4 linked regions of the Saccharomyces cerevisiae S288C genome follow. The gene in region 1 interacts genetically with each later gene. Each region holds a gene or a part of one and is shown in the gene's direction. Other genes may lie near its edges.

Region 1 (5,035 bases):
CCATTTCTCTCGTGGCCAACGATTGGTATTTGTGACCAGACTTATAATCATAAAAGGAAAGCACACCATTGTCACCGCCAGCGAATAATACATCATCTTGATTAATGCTTAAAGTATTGATTATGCCTGTCTTTTCAGACTCAAAATTGGTGAGTAAAGACCCCTCTGCTAATCCCCATGATCTGATGTCATCAGTACACGCAGAAGCCACCGAAAACTCCTTAGGATGCAACGCTGTAGCTCTCACAGACCTCTTATGATGTGTTAGAACTTTCATTGTTTTCCCAGCAACTACATCCCATAACCTTACCGTAGCATCAGTCGATGAACTCACCACTTGAGGGTCTACTGGAGTACACTGTACTTGATTGATTGGACCCTTATGCCCAACTAGTGTAATAACAGGTATTCTGGTTCTCATATCCCAGAGTTTGATAACGCTATCTCGGCCTGCGGTAGCTATGAGATCCAGCGTTGGATGTATGCTCACCGTACGAACCCCCGATAAATGTCCATAGTAATCTCTAATAATTTGGTTTTTCTCTAGGTCCCAGCATTTGACCGTCTTATCTTCACTAACAGAAAATAAATAAGGATGTCGATCTGACACAGCAACGTCTCTCACTGTCATTACATGCCCTGCTAAGGTAGTTTTTAATTTTCCTGTTGCAAGATCCCAAACTTTCATTGTCGTATCATTACTTCCGGTGATGAACCATTCGTTGTCAACAGGATCGATTGCAACGCATCGTACCCATCCAAGATGGCCATTGATAACGCGTGAAAGTTTCCAGGGTGCATGCCATTCCGGCCTTTGTGACAGAAGTTTTTCGTATCGATTAACTATAAGTTCTTCAGCAACCTCTGGTTGGAAAATTTTATTCACAAAAGCAGATGCATGCGTATCGTGATCTTTCTTGCTAATCACTGCTTGTGATGCTTCTGAAAAATCTGTAGGAACATGCTGCAGAGTAACTTTCTTGCCTTCACCACTAAAAGAAGAACTTTCCTTCCTATAAGTATCATATCGCATTAGCAATGATTTCTGACCTTCCATTTCGCTTTGTAGGTGGGGCGGCAGAGTGGCCATATATGAAAATTGGTTATTCCAGCGTATTCTGGAATAAAATTTGTCTACATCTCCTAAATTTTCGACTTTGTGATCATTTCCGTCCATTCTCACTAATCTCCATGTAACACAGTGTCTGCATCCTCGGAAATGGTTTTAAGATGCAATGAAGTGGGTAATAATTACTGTTAGCTTCACATCTTGAATAATCTTTTATTGCCAAAATTGTAGCTTTTCCGTATTAGATGATGAAGAATTTTGAGCACCCTTACTTAATAAAAGAGTTGTTGAACTCGAAATAGGAATACGAGATGAGGAGTAATTCTCTGAAAGTAGATAGCTCCTCTTGTCACATTGAATGCTACTTTATTGTGACTATAGGTGATTTAAGCGAACGAATGTTCTTAGGTCATCGTGGATTTGTGTGGTGATTTTCGGCTTATCTTAACAATGTTGACCGCGTGGACCCTCCCAATCTTGACAACAGAACACTTATCAATAACGGTATACAATAAATATCTTGTATGAATTAAATAAAGTAACGTTTTTTCCCTCATATCATTCCGAATCATTACGAAAATTCCAATACCTGTATTTTGAAGTCAACAAGAGTTTCGTTATCCGAATACTATTTTTTGTATCAATAAATTTTGTTTCGTTTTTCATTAATAACTAGTCACTGTGTAGTGGAAGCAAGTTCTCCTTATCCGTTGCCAAGAGACAATAAAAGACCCACATATAGGTGAATATACTGCTCACCATGGTTAATCCTGTTGGATCCTCGAAATTGGAACAAAACAATATAAAAAGCATTATAGGATCATCGTACAATCGACTATACAGCCAATTTACTTCTGATGAGTTGACAGAAGTGGGAAACTACAAGATTTTAAAACAAATAGGTGAAGGAAGTTTTGGAAAAGTATATTTAGCGCTCCATAGACCAACACATCGTAAAGTCTGCCTAAAGACGAGTGATAAGAATGATCCCAATATCGTTAGAGAGGTATTTTACCATAGACAGTTCGATTTTCCTTATATTACAAAGCTTTATGAAGTGATAGTGACAGAATCAAAAGTGTGGATGGCATTAGAATATTGCCCAGGGAAGGAATTATATGACCACTTACTTTCTCTGCGTAGAATATCGTTATTGGAATGCGGAGAGTTGTTTGCACAAATTTCAGGTGCTGTTTACTATGCACACTCAATGCATTGTGTTCATAGAGATTTGAAGTTAGAGAATATTTTATTAGACAAAAATGGAAATGCAAAATTGACGGATTTTGGTTTTACGAGAGAATGTATGACAAAGACGACATTAGAAACGGTTTGCGGTACCACAGTTTATATGGCACCTGAATTGATAGAAAGAAGGACTTATGATGGATTCAAGATTGATATATGGTCATTGGGAGTGATACTATACACATTAATTACGGGATATTTGCCATTTGATGATGACGATGAGGCTAAAACGAAATGGAAAATCGTCAATGAAGAACCGAAATACGATGCTAAAGTTATTCCGGACGATGCTAGGGATTTGATCTCACGATTATTGGCTAAAAATCCGGGAGAGCGCCCATCGTTGTCACAAGTTTTACGCCACCCTTTTTTACAGCCTTACGGTTCAGTGGTTTTAGATCAGACTCAGAAAATTTTGTGCAGACAGCGCAGTGGAGGGACTCAGTTTAAAAGTAAATTAGAAAGGCGATTGCTGAAGCGTCTTAAACAATCAGGGGTTGATACGCAAGCAATAAAACAATCAATTTTGAAAAAAAAGTGCGATTCACTCTCGGGTCTATGGTTATTGTTGTTAGCCCAAGGGAAAAAGCAAGAAAATTGCAAATATCCAAAAAGAAGCAGGTCCGTTTTATCAGTCAAAAAAGTTATTGAAAGTGCTACGCATAACGACACTAATGGCATTAGCGAAGATGTTTTGAAACCCTCACTTGAACTTTCTAGAGCTGCTTCATTGAGTAAAATGCTCAATAAAGGCTCAGATTTTGTAACATCGATGACTCCGGTTAGCAGAAAGAAGTCTAAAGATTCAGCAAAAGTTCTGAATCCTACTCTCTCTAAAATATCCTCACAAAGGGCTTATAGTCACTCTATTGCAGGTTCTCCTCGCAAGTCCAATAATTTCTTACAAAAAGTTTCTAGTTTTTTCAAGTCAAAAAAAAGCTCTAACAGCAATAGCAACAATAGTATTCACACAAATGTTAGTGAAAGCTTGATTGCAAGCAATAGAGGAGCCCCATCTTCAGGGTCGTTTCTCAAAAAAAACAGTGGTTCTATTCAGAAATCAAGAACTGACACTGTTGCAAATCCTTCAAGGACGGAGTCTATAGGATCGTTAAACGAAAATGTTGCCGGTGCCATTGTGCCACGGAGTGCTAATAATACTACATTAGAAAATAAGAAAACTTCTGGGAATGAAATAGGCTTAAAAGTAGCTCCAGAACTATTATTAAATGAACATATCCGAATAGAGGAACCTCGCCTCAAGCGCTTCAAATCGTCCATATCAAGTGAAATATCTCAAACTTCTACTGGTAATTATGATAGCGAATCTGCGGAAAATTCTAGGTCTATATCTTTTGATGGAAAAGTTTCCCCGCCACCGATACGAAATCGGCCATTGTCAGAGATATCGCAAATTTCTAATGACACTTATATATCAGAGTACTCCACTGATGGTAATAATTCGTCATTCAAAATTTCAGACACTATCAAGCCGAGCTATATACGAAAAGGCTCTGAAACTACCTCGCAGTATTCAGCTTCATCCGAAAAAATGACAAATGGCTACGGTAGAAAATTTGTCAGGAGGGATTTAAGCATTGTATCGACTGCGTCGAGCACCTCTGAAAGAAGTTCAAGAACAGATTCCTTTTACGATATCACTACAGCTACACCAGTTGTGACCACTGATAATAGGCGCAATAAAAACAATAATCTGAAAGAGTCTGTTTTGCCCAGATTTGGGACTCAAAGGCCATGGACTGGCAAAAGGACGTATACCACGTCCCGCCATGGCAAGAATGCTAGGCGTTCGTCTAAAAGAGGTCTGTTCAAAATAACTTCTTCAAATACAGACTCTATTATTCAAGAAGTAAGCTCATCAGAAGAAGAAGATCATAATGTTATCTATAGCAAGGGAAAGGGTCTTCCAACACCAGTTTTGCAAACTAAAGGATTAATAGAAAATGGGTTGAACGAACGCGATGAAGAAGGAGATGACGAGTATGCAATTCACACTGACGGAGAATTTTCTATCAAACCGCAGTTTTCCGATGACGTTATCGACAAACAGAATCATTTGCCCAGCGTGAAGGCTGTGGCAACTAAACGTTCGTTGAGCGAAGGAAGTAATTGGTCTAGTAGCTATTTGGATTCGGACAATAATCGGCGAAGGGTATCTTCATTGCTAGTAGAGGATGGGGGGAATCCTACAGCGTAGGTACCGGATAACAGAGTAACTGGTAAAAACGGCAAAAAATACTGTAAGGAAGTTGTCTATATATGTACATATGGATATTGCGGTATAATAAAAAAGCTTTAAAATTATAAAGAAACCCGACTTTTATCACATATAATTATATTATAAAAAAATAATGGCATCTGTATGAACTCGCGATTAAGCTCACTTTTTTCTAATGATCGAAGTTTTGTCCGGTTATCCAACTGTGGCAAGAACATCGCGAGGCGGAGCTAAACACAGAATTTTTGTAGCGCGATGAGAAACATAACGCCTCTTTAGATAAATTATCATCACCTTTTTTACACTAAATAATGAAGTAGCATGCTCAGAAGTGCGAATGAATTTTTGTTCTTTTGGTTCTAGAAGAACGGAGATAGGAAACCTATGATGTAAGTATGAATGACATTAAACAATTACTTTGGAATGGTGAGCTTAATGTGCTGGTATCGATCGATCCTTCATTTTTGATGAAAGGAAGT
Region 2 (4,196 bases), on another chromosome or scaffold:
CTCAAAACAGCCTGTGTCTCTGGGTCACCGAATCTGACATTATATTCTAACACTTCGGGAACAAGTTGATTTGTCTTAGAATCCTTCACCAAAATCATCCCGGTGAACAGCACACCAACAAAGGGCATACCATCACGTCTCATCCCATCAATCGTAGGCTTCACAATCTGTGAATCTATGGTCTTCAACAAAGATGGTGTGGCCACAGGAGCGGGGGCATAGGCACCCATCCCACCGGTGTTCAAGCCCTTGTCGCCATCAAAGATCCTCTTGTGATCTTGTGCGACGGGGAGATTGAAGTGAGAGTACCCGTCAACAATGGTGAGTAGAGAGATTTCATCACCTTCCAAGAATTGTTCTATCACAACCTGCTTGCCCGCTTCTTCACCGAATTGCTTGGTGACCATTATGTCCTTGATAGCTTGGACGGACTCGTCGATGCTAGATGGGATAATAACACCTTTCCCAGCAGCGATCCCGTCGGCCTTGATGACAAAAGCTTTGTCAGTATGAGCTTGCAAGAATGAAATGGCTTCTTCTGGATTAGTGAAGACATCATAAGACGCGGTTGGAATATTGTGTTTTGACATAAATCTCTTGGAGAAAGCCTTGGAAGCTTCCAACTGAGCGGCTTTGACGGAAGGTCCAAAAACGGGAATACCAACGCTATGGAACACGGAGGTGATGCCGTTGACTAGAGGTAATTCTGGACCAGGAACGACCAAGTTGATCTTATGTTCCACAGCCATCGACTGCAAACGAGCAAAATTGGCGACATCTGGCGTAATATCCCAGTTTATCACACGCGAAGGATCCATGGTTGCGGTCCCTCCATTACCTGGAGCGACATAGATCTTACCCACGGTGGGTGACTGAGCCAGCTTGGTGACAAGAACGTGTTCTCTTGCACCGTTTCCTAAAACGAGAATGTTGAGCATTGTGAGGGGAGGGAGAATGGTTCTCTTAAGCTATGATTAAGAAAGTAATAAGAAATAACTGCGCTACTAGTGGTAGCTCCTGGGACGGTTAACAGCGGTTGCACTTGCCTCTGAACATAGTTTAAATACCAAGTTCAAGCCCATCGCATATTCATTATTGCTGTTATTACCAGGACACGAGTCAGTCGGCACTTGTCACTACCGACGGGGCGAGTCAACTGAAAAAAAAAATGAAAAATTTTGAAAAAAAAAAAAAGCTGCTTACTGCCACTATTAGTCACGGTATGAACAACGGCAGTTGAAGATTAGACGATTTCTTAACGCTTAGGTAGTTATTAGAGTATGATATAGTAGATTCAAGTTTATGATATCTGTCTGTCCCTGTGTGGGGTTGTAGTAATGCTGTGGCTTCTTTCTTGTTACTTAGATATGGCGTTGCAGAAGGAACGTACAAAGAGGTGCTTCTTCATCCGGGGGTCTTCTACTTTTGTATGGCTCTTGATCGCCACCGTGTAATCGAGCCCTTGTGGCTTCTCTAAGGTACCTGTGTGCGGCCACTTTCTTTATGGTTGGTAACGTATGGTGGCATCTTTCACAGACGGATAAGTGCGGTTTAATTCTTCACTTAAATCTTGAGGGCATCCAATAGTTTCTGCAGAATACCAGCTAAACGCCCCAAAGAACGATGCTGCGTGTAACAACCTTGGCGTCTTCGTGTACTTCATTTCCCTTACAGGTCCTCAGGAGGCGGTTGACCATATCTTCTTTGACAAGCTTCCAACCCACAACCAAGACACAGGTCGTGGTCATCGGTGCTGGACATGCAGGCTGCGAAGCTGCAGCTGCGTCATCTAGGACTGGTGCGCATACTACTCTCATTACACCATCGTTAACAGATATTGGTAAGTGTTCGTGCAACCCCTCTATTGGTGGAGTGGGTAAGGGCATCCTTGTAAAGGAAATCGACGCTCTCGATGGGCTGATGGGCAAAGTAACTGATCTCGCTGGAGTGCAATTCAAAATGCTGAACAGAAGCAAGGGTCCTGCTGTGTGGGGGCCCAGAGCCCAGATAGACAGAGAGTTATATAAGAAATACATGCAAAGGGAACTTTCCGACAAGAAAGCACACCCCAACTTGTCTCTGCTGCAGAACAAAGTTGCTGACTTGATCTTGTATGACCCCGGATGTGGCCACAAGGTCATCAAAGGTGTGGTTCTGGATGACGGTACCCAGGTTGGGGCAGATCAGGTCATAATCACTACAGGTACGTTTCTCAGTGCAGAAATTCACATCGGCGACAAGCGTATTGCAGCAGGAAGAATTGGCGAGCAGCCAACATATGGGATCAGCAATACTCTACAAAATGAGGTGGGCTTTCAGTTAGGGCGTTTGAAAACAGGCACTCCGGCTAGGCTGGCCAAGGAATCCATTGATTTCAGCGCTCTGGAGGTCCAGAAGGGAGATGCGTTGCCTGTCCCTATGAGTTTTCTGAATGAAACCGTGTCAGTCGAACCCACGAAGCAACTGGATTGCTTTGGCACACATACCACACCTCAAATGCACGACTTTTTGCGCAATAACTTGCATCAATCCATTCATATTCAGGACACGACCATCAAAGGCCCCCGCTATTGTCCCTCCATCGAAGCTAAGATTCTAAGGTTTCCTGATAGATCTTCCCATAAGATATGGTTGGAACCAGAAGGTTTCAACTCCGACGTCATTTATCCGAACGGGATATCCAATTCTATGCCTGAGGATGTCCAGTTACAAATGATGAGGCTCATCCCGGGCATGGCAAACGTTGAGATCTTGCAGCCGGCATACGGCGTGGAATACGACTACGTAGACCCACGGCAATTAAAGCCTAGCTTGGAAACAAAATTGGTGGATGGACTATTCTTGGCCGGACAAATAAATGGTACTACAGGCTACGAGGAAGCCGCTGCACAGGGGATCATTGCAGGTATCAATGCAGGATTACTATCGCGCCAAGAACGGGAGCAATTGGTCTTGAAAAGGTCCGAAGCGTACATTGGTGTGCTCATTGACGATCTAATCAATAATGGCGTCATAGAACCATATAGAATGTTTACTTCCAGATCAGAATTCAGAATCAGCGTAAGAGCCGATAACGCAGACTTCAGACTGACGCCCATTGGTGCTCAACTAGGGATTATATCTCCTGTCCGTTTAAGTCAATATTCAAGAGACAAGCACCTATATGATGAAACAATACGGGCGCTTCAAAATTTCAAGCTAAGCTCTCAAAAATGGTCTAGCTTACTACAGGCTAATATCGCGCCACAGGCTGAAAACAGATCTGCTTGGGAAATATTCAGATTCAAAGATATGGATCTACATAAACTCTACGAGTGCATTCCCGATTTACCCATTAATTTGCTGGACATCCCAATGCATGTTGTCACCAAAATTAACATTCAAGGTAAATACGAACCTTACATTGTCAAACAGAACCAGTTTGTGAAGGCATTTCAGGCAGACGAAAATATGCTGTTGCCGCAAGATTACGATTACCGTCAGTTACCCACGCTTTCCACTGAATGCAAACTACTCTTGAACCGCGTACAGCCATTGACCATAGGCCAAGCAAGACGGATTCAAGGTATCACTGCGGCAGCCCTATTTGAACTCTACCGTGTGGCACGGAAGCCAAGCCAACCAGTCATGTAAATATCCTTTAATCGTTAGCTTGTATATGTAAATAATTCATTGTATGTAACCATCAAATTCGTTATTTAGCAATCTTACCCGGAAAACTTCTTGTATCGTAACATTAATTCTCCCTTACAAGGGGACCTCGATGAATAAATAAAGTGTTTGTGTTGAAGGTACTTGCAAAAGGGCAACTCACTGTCGTTTATAATTTGATTTACTAATCGCATCTGTATTTGGAAAAGCATTTCTTTTTGGAAGAGGAACAAGAACGCCATGTCAGCAGACGAAACGGATGCGAAATTTCATCCATTAGAAACAGATCTGCAATCTGATACAGCGGCTGCAACATCAACGGCAGCAGCTTCACGCAGTCCCTCTCTTCAAGAGAAGCCCATAGAGATGCCCTTGGATATGGGAAAAGCGCCTTCTCCAAGAGGCGAAGATCAACGGGTTACAAATGAAGAAGATTTGTTTTTGTTTAACAGATTGCGGGCATCACAGAATAGAGTTATGGACTCCTTGGAACCACAACAACAGTCACAGTATACATCTTCCAGTGTCAGTACGATGGAACCATC
Region 3 (3,352 bases), on another chromosome or scaffold:
GAGTGTAAACCCCAAACAAAGTATAAGTTTCTTGAGTATCTTCTAGATTTGTAATCATTTGTGAAGAGTACCTATTAGGCAACTGCAAATGTAACACAATCAAACCTAATAAAATGTTTGCGTAAGCACTGCCTTTTGATATTATTTCTCTCAGGTAGTCAGAAGACCTCTCACTAGTTAGAACATTATAAAAGACAGTTATGACTTGAGATAAAGTATCGTTATTTATGGTGTGCCATCGAGGCGTTTCATATTCTGCGCTTTTTTGGCCCTTCTTGAAAGTATTTATTCTTTTCGAATCGAATGGAATTTTCATCGTAGGAGACAAATTAGCATCTATACCATGAATAATCAAAAGATTTATCAGTTCGTCTACGTATTTCATATCATGCAATGAGATAGGCAATAAGTCACTTTTACTTTCGATGAGCCTCCGTTGCTGTTCTAGTACGTGAATGTGCAAATTCTGGAATTTCTGTAAAAGTACTGCAACAAACTCATTGTTATTTGAGCACTTCAACGCCTGATAAATGGAAGAGGATGATGATGAGCCTGAATCAAGAACATATTCGTTTATGGGAGTAATTACATTGTCATCCAGATCTTCGAAGAAAACATCTAGGGCTGTCTTTTTGGTGAGCTTCGGTCTTGTATTCAATATATCGTGTATGTTGATCTTTTGCTCTTTATCCTCATTCATTTTCCAACCTTTTGTTTTTCTTGATCTGATATGACAAGAAGAAACATGAGGCGGTGATGAGCCCTTATTGCTATATGCTGTTCGACGCGATGAGATGATTACATGTTTTTTATTAAATTTCTCAAGCAGACTGCGGGTAACCTTGATTTTTAATTATTCAATAGGAATTCTTTTTTTTTTTAGAAAATAAAATGTTCTGCGTAGTGTACTTCTATTTATAAATATAATAATATTATTGATTAATTAGGCATCGCATTTTCAAAAATTTTTAAGAATGCGGGACACCAATTTGAGATTGTTGTGTCAGTAACCATCCAATGTTTAATGGTTTTCACGGCCATATTTTTGTCTTTTTCATTGAAAATCTGGGATAGTACTGTTTTGGTGTGCTCGTTTTGTAAAATCTTGGTAATGTTTGAATCTAATTTTTTCTTGTAAAATTCCAACTCCTTCGAAGAGAGCTTCGAGCCACACACACAGAGGTCGTTGATCTTAGCCACTAATTCTTCTTTACTGCATAATATCGGCTGGAGCTGTCTATCGCCTTGGTCTTTTACGAGCACACCTTCACAGGCAGATTCTTGTTGAGCAGCAGTTACAGATGGCCTCCTCAAAACTGGTGGCGGCGTAGTAGCTGTTTTAGTGTTCCCATAAAGATCTAACACTTCTGTGGCAAGTCTGCCGCTAACACATCTTTTCGATTTCGTTCTTTGTTTAGATTTGGATCTAGGTCCGCTATTAGGGTCGATAGAAAACAAAACTGTCGGACAGTCGTTATAACCAGGCACTTCAGCTTCTAGACAATTCTGAAAACTTTTGGTTGGTTTAATAGCCATCGTACGTAATAGTATGTGCGGAAATAGATTGACGAAGAACCGACAGATGCGCGTCTACTGAAGCTCTTATGAGTAGCCTGTGTGAATAAAGAAGCCAGCTAAAAGTAAATATGTGGCATCTTTATGTCTTACGAGCCGGGTACCAAGCGGCAGCAAAGGGTCCCCCCTAAACGACGTGCTTATCACCCGGCCGTTGTTTACGAAATGGCCTTTTTTGACGTTTTTAGTTTCAATGGATGGATGAAAAAAGCAAGTAAAATGACAAATAAATGCTGTTGGCAGGTTAAATCGTTTAATATACCCATAAGAGAGCTGGAATAGTGTGGAATTGTAATACTTTACATTTGAAAACTGCCCATACACGCACAAATATTGCAGCAATGAGCAACGCTAATCCTTATGAGAATAACAATCCGTACGCTGAAAACTATGAAATGCAAGAGGACTTGAACAATGCTCCTACTGGTCACTCAGATGGTAGCGACGATTTCGTAGCTTTTATGAACAAGATCAACTCAATAAATGCTAACTTGTCCAGGTACGAAAACATTATCAACCAAATTGATGCGCAACACAAAGACCTACTTACTCAAGTGAGTGAGGAACAGGAGATGGAATTGAGACGTTCTTTGGACGATTACATCTCTCAGGCCACAGATTTGCAGTATCAATTGAAAGCGGATATCAAAGATGCCCAGAGAGACGGATTGCACGACTCTAATAAACAGGCACAAGCTGAAAATTGCAGACAGAAATTCTTAAAATTAATTCAAGACTACAGAATTATCGATTCTAACTACAAAGAAGAAAGCAAAGAGCAGGCGAAGAGACAGTACACAATTATCCAACCGGAAGCCACTGACGAAGAAGTGGAAGCCGCCATCAACGATGTCAATGGCCAGCAGATCTTTTCCCAAGCGTTGCTAAACGCCAATAGACGTGGTGAGGCCAAGACAGCATTGGCCGAAGTACAGGCTAGACATCAAGAGTTGTTGAAGTTGGAAAAAACAATGGCTGAACTTACCCAATTGTTCAATGACATGGAAGAGTTGGTCATCGAACAACAAGAAAATGTGGATGTCATTGACAAAAACGTCGAAGACGCTCAGCAAGATGTAGAGCAAGGTGTGGGTCACACCAACAAGGCCGTTAAGAGTGCCAGAAAAGCAAGAAAAAACAAAATAAGATGTTTGATCATCTGCTTTATTATCTTTGCTATTGTTGTTGTCGTTGTGGTTGTTCCATCCGTTGTGGAAACAAGAAAGTAATAGAGCACATGCGCCTCCCTCCCGCCAGCCCCCCAATTCCTATTATGTGTAATCAAACAATTTCTATTAAAACCGAAAACCTAAAAATTGTAACGTCTTTTCTCTTTCCTACTATACCCTCCTCATACCTGCCTTTTTAACAATTAGTATTATAATTTTTTTTTTTCACAAAAAGACAATACCGACTATCTAATAAATAATTTTAATACGTATGTAATTTCGTTAAGAACAAGAATTTTTAAGTAAAAAATCTTACTTTTAAGAAAAACTGTCGCCCTTAATATTAGTCCCAATTTTGTAACGAAAAATAAAATACAAATCGGGGTGGAAAAAGGGAAATTTTACAACATTATTATTCCAAAAACTAGTTTTCAAAAAGTAAATCGTGGGGGTATGAACAACAATTGTTGTAGTCGCAACTACGGTAATTGGTCCTAAAAAATTATTCTCCGGGAAAAAAAGAAGAAACAAAGAGATCCCGAAACATAAGTCCCGTGATTCTTTTTGCCCCCCGCTTTCTTTCGCCAAGAGAAGAGCAATTTATTGAA
Region 4 (4,259 bases), on another chromosome or scaffold:
TATTGGATGCCACCCCATTAATTACGCAGTCCTACACACATTACCAGAATTATGCACAGTCTTTTTATACTACTCCCACAGTTTTTCAAGAAATTAAGGATGCTCAAGCAAGGAAAAACCTTGAAATTTGGCAGAGCCTCGGAACTTTGAAATTAGTACATCCAAGTGAAAACTCGATAGCCAAAGTAAGTACGTTCGCCAAATTGACCGGTGACTACTCCGTACTGAGTGCCAATGATTTGCATATTCTTGCTTTGACATACGAGTTAGAAATTAAACTAAATAATGGCGATTGGAGACTGAGGAAAAAACCAGGTGATGCATTAGATGCGTCCAAGGCTGACGTTGGTACGGACGGCAAACAGAAGCTCACAGAAGATAATAAAAAGGAGGAGGACTCTGAAAGTGTTCCAAAAAAAAAGAACAAGAGAAGAGGTGGAAAAAAGCAAAAGGCAAAAAGAGAAGCAAGAGAAGCAAGAGAAGCTGAAAATGCAAACCTTGAGCTAGAGAGTAAAGCTGAGGAACATGTTGAGGAGGCTGGATCCAAAGAGCAGATATGTAATGATGAAAATATAAAGGAATCTTCCGATTTAAATGAAGTATTCGAGGATGCTGATGATGATGGTGATTGGATTACCCCCGAGAACTTAACAGAAGCAATTATTAAGGATAGTGGTGAAGATACCACTGGTTCATTGGGTGTAGAAGCGTCCGAAGAGGATCGCCATGTCGCATTGAATCGACCAGAGAATCAGGTGGCATTGGCGACTGGCGATTTTGCCGTCCAAAATGTAGCGTTGCAGATGAATCTAAATCTAATGAATTTCATGTCAGGTCTGAAAATCAAGCGAATCCGTAATTATATGCTAAGATGCCACGCCTGTTTCAAAATATTTCCTCTACCAAAAGACGGCAAGCCAAAGCACTTCTGTGCCTCATGCGGTGGACAGGGTACCTTATTAAGATGCGCAGTTTCCGTTGACTCACGCACGGGGAACGTTACACCGCACTTGAAGTCGAACTTCCAATGGAACAATAGAGGAAACAGATATTCTGTAGCCAGCCCCTTATCTAAGAACTCCCAAAAAAGGTACGGCAAAAAGGGACACGTACATTCTAAACCACAGGAAAATGTGATTCTCAGAGAAGATCAAAAGGAGTACGAAAAGGTGATAAAGCAAGAAGAATGGACAAGAAGACACAACGAGAAGATTCTAAACAATTGGATTGGTGGCGGTTCTGCGGATAACTATATTTCTCCATTTGCAATTACTGGGTTGAAGCAGCATAACGTCCGCATTGGTAAGGGAAGGTACGTCAACAGTTCCAAAAGGAGAAGTTAGTGTTTTTCATAAATATCTGTGTAGTGTGTACTAGTTGGCAGCTGCCCTTTTTCTTTTTCTTTTTTTTTTTTTTTTTTTTTTTTTTTTCACGTGGTTTTTCTATGACGTTTTCCAAAACAAGCGTGTCATGTGAGCTTTTTTGCCCTTTAACTTTCTGGTTGGAGAGTCCAAAAGACCGAAAAGGTAAGAAAACGTTTTATTGCTCAGTATGCCCTCCCCTTATGAGATGAATGGTGTTACAGCACTTTGAAGAGGGCTCGTTTTGAGGACTTTTTGATCAGGATTAATACTAGATTGCCAAAAAAAGGATAGCCTTTTATAAGATTACTTTAGTTCAAAGAAGAGACCAGAAAGAGGAATACTGGCCATAATTATAGTGCAGAGACGCAATGACAAACAAATCTAGCCTGAAGAACAATAGGAAAGGGGTTGCTTCGAATACTCTCTCTGGAGCTGAGCAGGCCAATATAGGTTCATCGGCAATGCCTGACACAAATTCTACGGGACCATTTTCTTCCGTTTCTAGTCTGGACACTCCTGTAGTAAGGAAATCAACTAGTCCCACTGGTTCACAAACTAAGTCAATCATGAATGCTAGCGGAACTTCTGGGGCAGTTGTAAGTAATACACCAGAGCCAGGGTTAAAAAGGATACCAACTGTTACATTCAGCGATCCAAAGTTGGGTAGTCTCAGGTCGGATGTGGAGCAAACTCCACCTAACCAGGTGGCCAGACAGTCCAGCGAAAAGAAAGCAACGTCTGTACACATCGCAGCGGAGGGTGCAAATCAAGGAAGAAACTTGAAAGACATAAATACAAAAGTACCAAAAGATGGCGAGGCTTCTGCTTCTTCTTTTTCGACTCCAACCTCTATTCTCTCCAATGCTGATATGGGGAATAACATATCCAGCCTGCTGGCTAAAAAGCTAAGTTTCACCGGTGGAACAGATTCTATTTTAAACTCTGACAATAGTTCCGATAGCCCCAGAAAGGAGCACCCACATTTCTACGTGGAAGATCCTTTACACACCCCATCAGTTAGATCAAGGTCTAACAGTACTAGTCCTCGCCCCTCTGTGGTAGTGAATACATTTAACCCCATCAACATTGAACGAGAGGGCTCCATATCAAAGACTGGAGAGCCCACATTGTTGGAGTCTGTCTTGGAAGAAGCAATGTCTCCCAATGCAGTCTCAAATCCCTTGAAGAGAGAAAATATTATGACCAATATGGATCCAAGGCTTCCCCAAGATGACGGCAAGCTACACGTTCTTTTTGGGGCAACAGGTTCTTTGTCTGTTTTCAAACTCAAGCACATGATCAGAAAATTAGAAGAAATTTACGGAAGGGACAAAATATGCATACAAGTTATACTAACTAACTCAGCAACCAAATTTTTTGCAATGAAGTATATGAGGAAAAATAAGAAACAACACAATAGTATCGATACTTCTTTCAACAGCACCAATTCTAATGCTGGCAATATAACTGGTAACAAGAAAAAAGTAGCCTCTCTTGAAAAATTTAGCATTCAGAAGACGTCTTCAAACTCAGCGGCTTCTCAGACAAATAATAAACAGGAGGAAGAAAAACAAATGGCCTCTACTACTGGATTTCCTTCGACACTTGGTGGTAGTCGTACGTACAGCAACTCTTCAAACGTTGTATCGCAACATCCTCAAATTGAACTGCCAGCACATATACAATTTTGGACAGACCAAGACGAGTGGGATGTATGGCGACAACGAACTGATCCTGTATTACACATAGAACTACGTCGTTGGGCAGATATACTAGTTGTCGCACCATTAACCGCAAACACGTTGGCCAAGATTGCCCTTGGTTTATGTGACAACCTTTTGACAAGTGTAATAAGGGCATGGAATCCAACGTTTCCCATATTCCTAGCGCCTTCAATGGGTAGCGGTACGTTCAATTCCATAATGACTAAAAAACATTTTCGAATTATTCAAGAAGAGATGCCTTGGGTAACTGTATTTAAACCCTCAGAAAAAGTCATGGGCATAAACGGTGACATCGGGTTAAGTGGGATGATGGATGCAAATGAGATTGTTGGCAAGATAGTCGTCAAACTAGGTGGTTATCCCGATGTTTCTGCGGGAAAGGAAGAAGAAGAGGATGAAGATAACGATGAGGAGGATGATAATAAGAAGAACGATACTGGTGGTAAAGATGAAGATAATGACGACGACGACGATGACGATGATGATGATGACGATGATGACGACGACGACGACGACGACGACGACGACGACGACGACGATGATGATGATGACGACGATGATGACGACGATGATGACGACGACGACGACGACGATGAAGATGACGAAGACGAAGATGAAGACGATGAAGGAAAAAAGAAAGAAGATAAAGGAGGGCTACAGCGATCTTAAATAGGACTAATTTCATTATTGTAAAACTTTTGAACTATATATATCTTTACATAGAATAAATTTGCATTAATCACTGATAACCAGAAGAGAAGGCTAAAAATAGGCAAGTAGGACACTTAACTCATTTTCCAAAGGGAGTTTTATGTCTCATAGTTAGCGCTTACGATGCTGCGGAGGTGCGTCGTCACTCTATCGGATGTTCATTCTGAGGGAAAGGGAGTGGTTCAAATCCGATTTAACCTTGCCAGCTTATCGCAAAGCGGGTGAGATCAAATGCTCCACAGCTCTGCGGTTCGTTTCACCTTTCTGTTTTCTGCGAGCTTCGGCCCTGTCAGGGAAAAAAAGAAAGAAGGGGGCGGTGGCAAAGACTGCATCGGCCCAGAAGCAAAGAAGATATAAAAGGGAAATACTTGCCACCGAAGTCTTAGACTTTGCATAAGAGATATTCTCGCCTTTCCCGCTTGAAGAGTTCCTGACTCTATCATACATCTTGGATAAAAGG

The links.
Region 2: mutations in YPL150W (region 1) and MTO1 together harm fitness more than expected from each alone (negative genetic interaction), as found in Saccharomyces cerevisiae (3 studies listed by BioGRID).
Region 3: mutations in YPL150W (region 1) and SSO2 together harm fitness more than expected from each alone (negative genetic interaction), as found in Saccharomyces cerevisiae (3 studies listed by BioGRID).
Region 4: mutations in YPL150W (region 1) and VHS3 together harm fitness more than expected from each alone (negative genetic interaction), as found in Saccharomyces cerevisiae (3 studies listed by BioGRID).

Annotation. Positions count from the first base shown.
Region 1 is NC_001148.4:266,359-271,393, forward strand, and holds YPL150W (non-specific serine/threonine protein kinase), read left to right. Parts: upstream 1-1,829; coding exon 1,830-4,535; downstream 4,536-5,035. Other genes in the region: mRNA splicing protein PRP46, read right to left, coding at 1-1,177; ATG5 (Atg5p), read left to right, coding at 4,952-5,035. UniProt on the Saccharomyces cerevisiae protein: Putative serine/threonine-protein kinase.
Region 2 is NC_001139.9:53,224-57,419, reverse strand, and holds MTO1 (tRNA modification protein MTO1), read left to right. Parts: upstream 1-1,623; coding exon 1,624-3,633; downstream 3,634-4,196. Other genes in the region: ADE57 (bifunctional aminoimidazole ribotide synthase/glycinamide ribotide synthase), read right to left, coding at 1-938; YGL235W (uncharacterized protein), read right to left, coding at 1,605-2,141; transcription activator HAP2, read left to right, coding at 3,892-4,196. UniProt on the Saccharomyces cerevisiae protein: Component of the MSS1-MTO1 complex that catalyzes the 5-carboxymethylaminomethyluridine (cmnm(5)U) modification at the 34th wobble position (U34) of mitochondrial tRNAs.
Region 3 is NC_001145.3:626,373-629,724, reverse strand, and holds SSO2 (syntaxin), read left to right. Parts: upstream 1-1,916; coding exon 1,917-2,804; downstream 2,805-3,352. Other genes in the region: RTP1 (Rtp1p), read right to left, coding at 1-700; ADD37 (Add37p), read right to left, coding at 940-1,536. UniProt on the Saccharomyces cerevisiae protein: Required for vesicle fusion with the plasma membrane.
Region 4 is NC_001147.6:427,331-431,589, reverse strand, and holds VHS3 (phosphopantothenoylcysteine decarboxylase complex subunit VHS3), read left to right. Parts: upstream 1-1,732; coding exon 1,733-3,757; downstream 3,758-4,259. Other genes in the region: NOB1 (rRNA-binding endoribonuclease), read left to right, coding at 1-1,343. UniProt on the Saccharomyces cerevisiae protein: Component of the phosphopantothenoylcysteine decarboxylase (PPCDC) involved in the coenzyme A synthesis. Acts as an inhibitory subunit of protein phosphatase PPZ1, which is involved in many cellular processes such as G1-S transition or salt tolerance.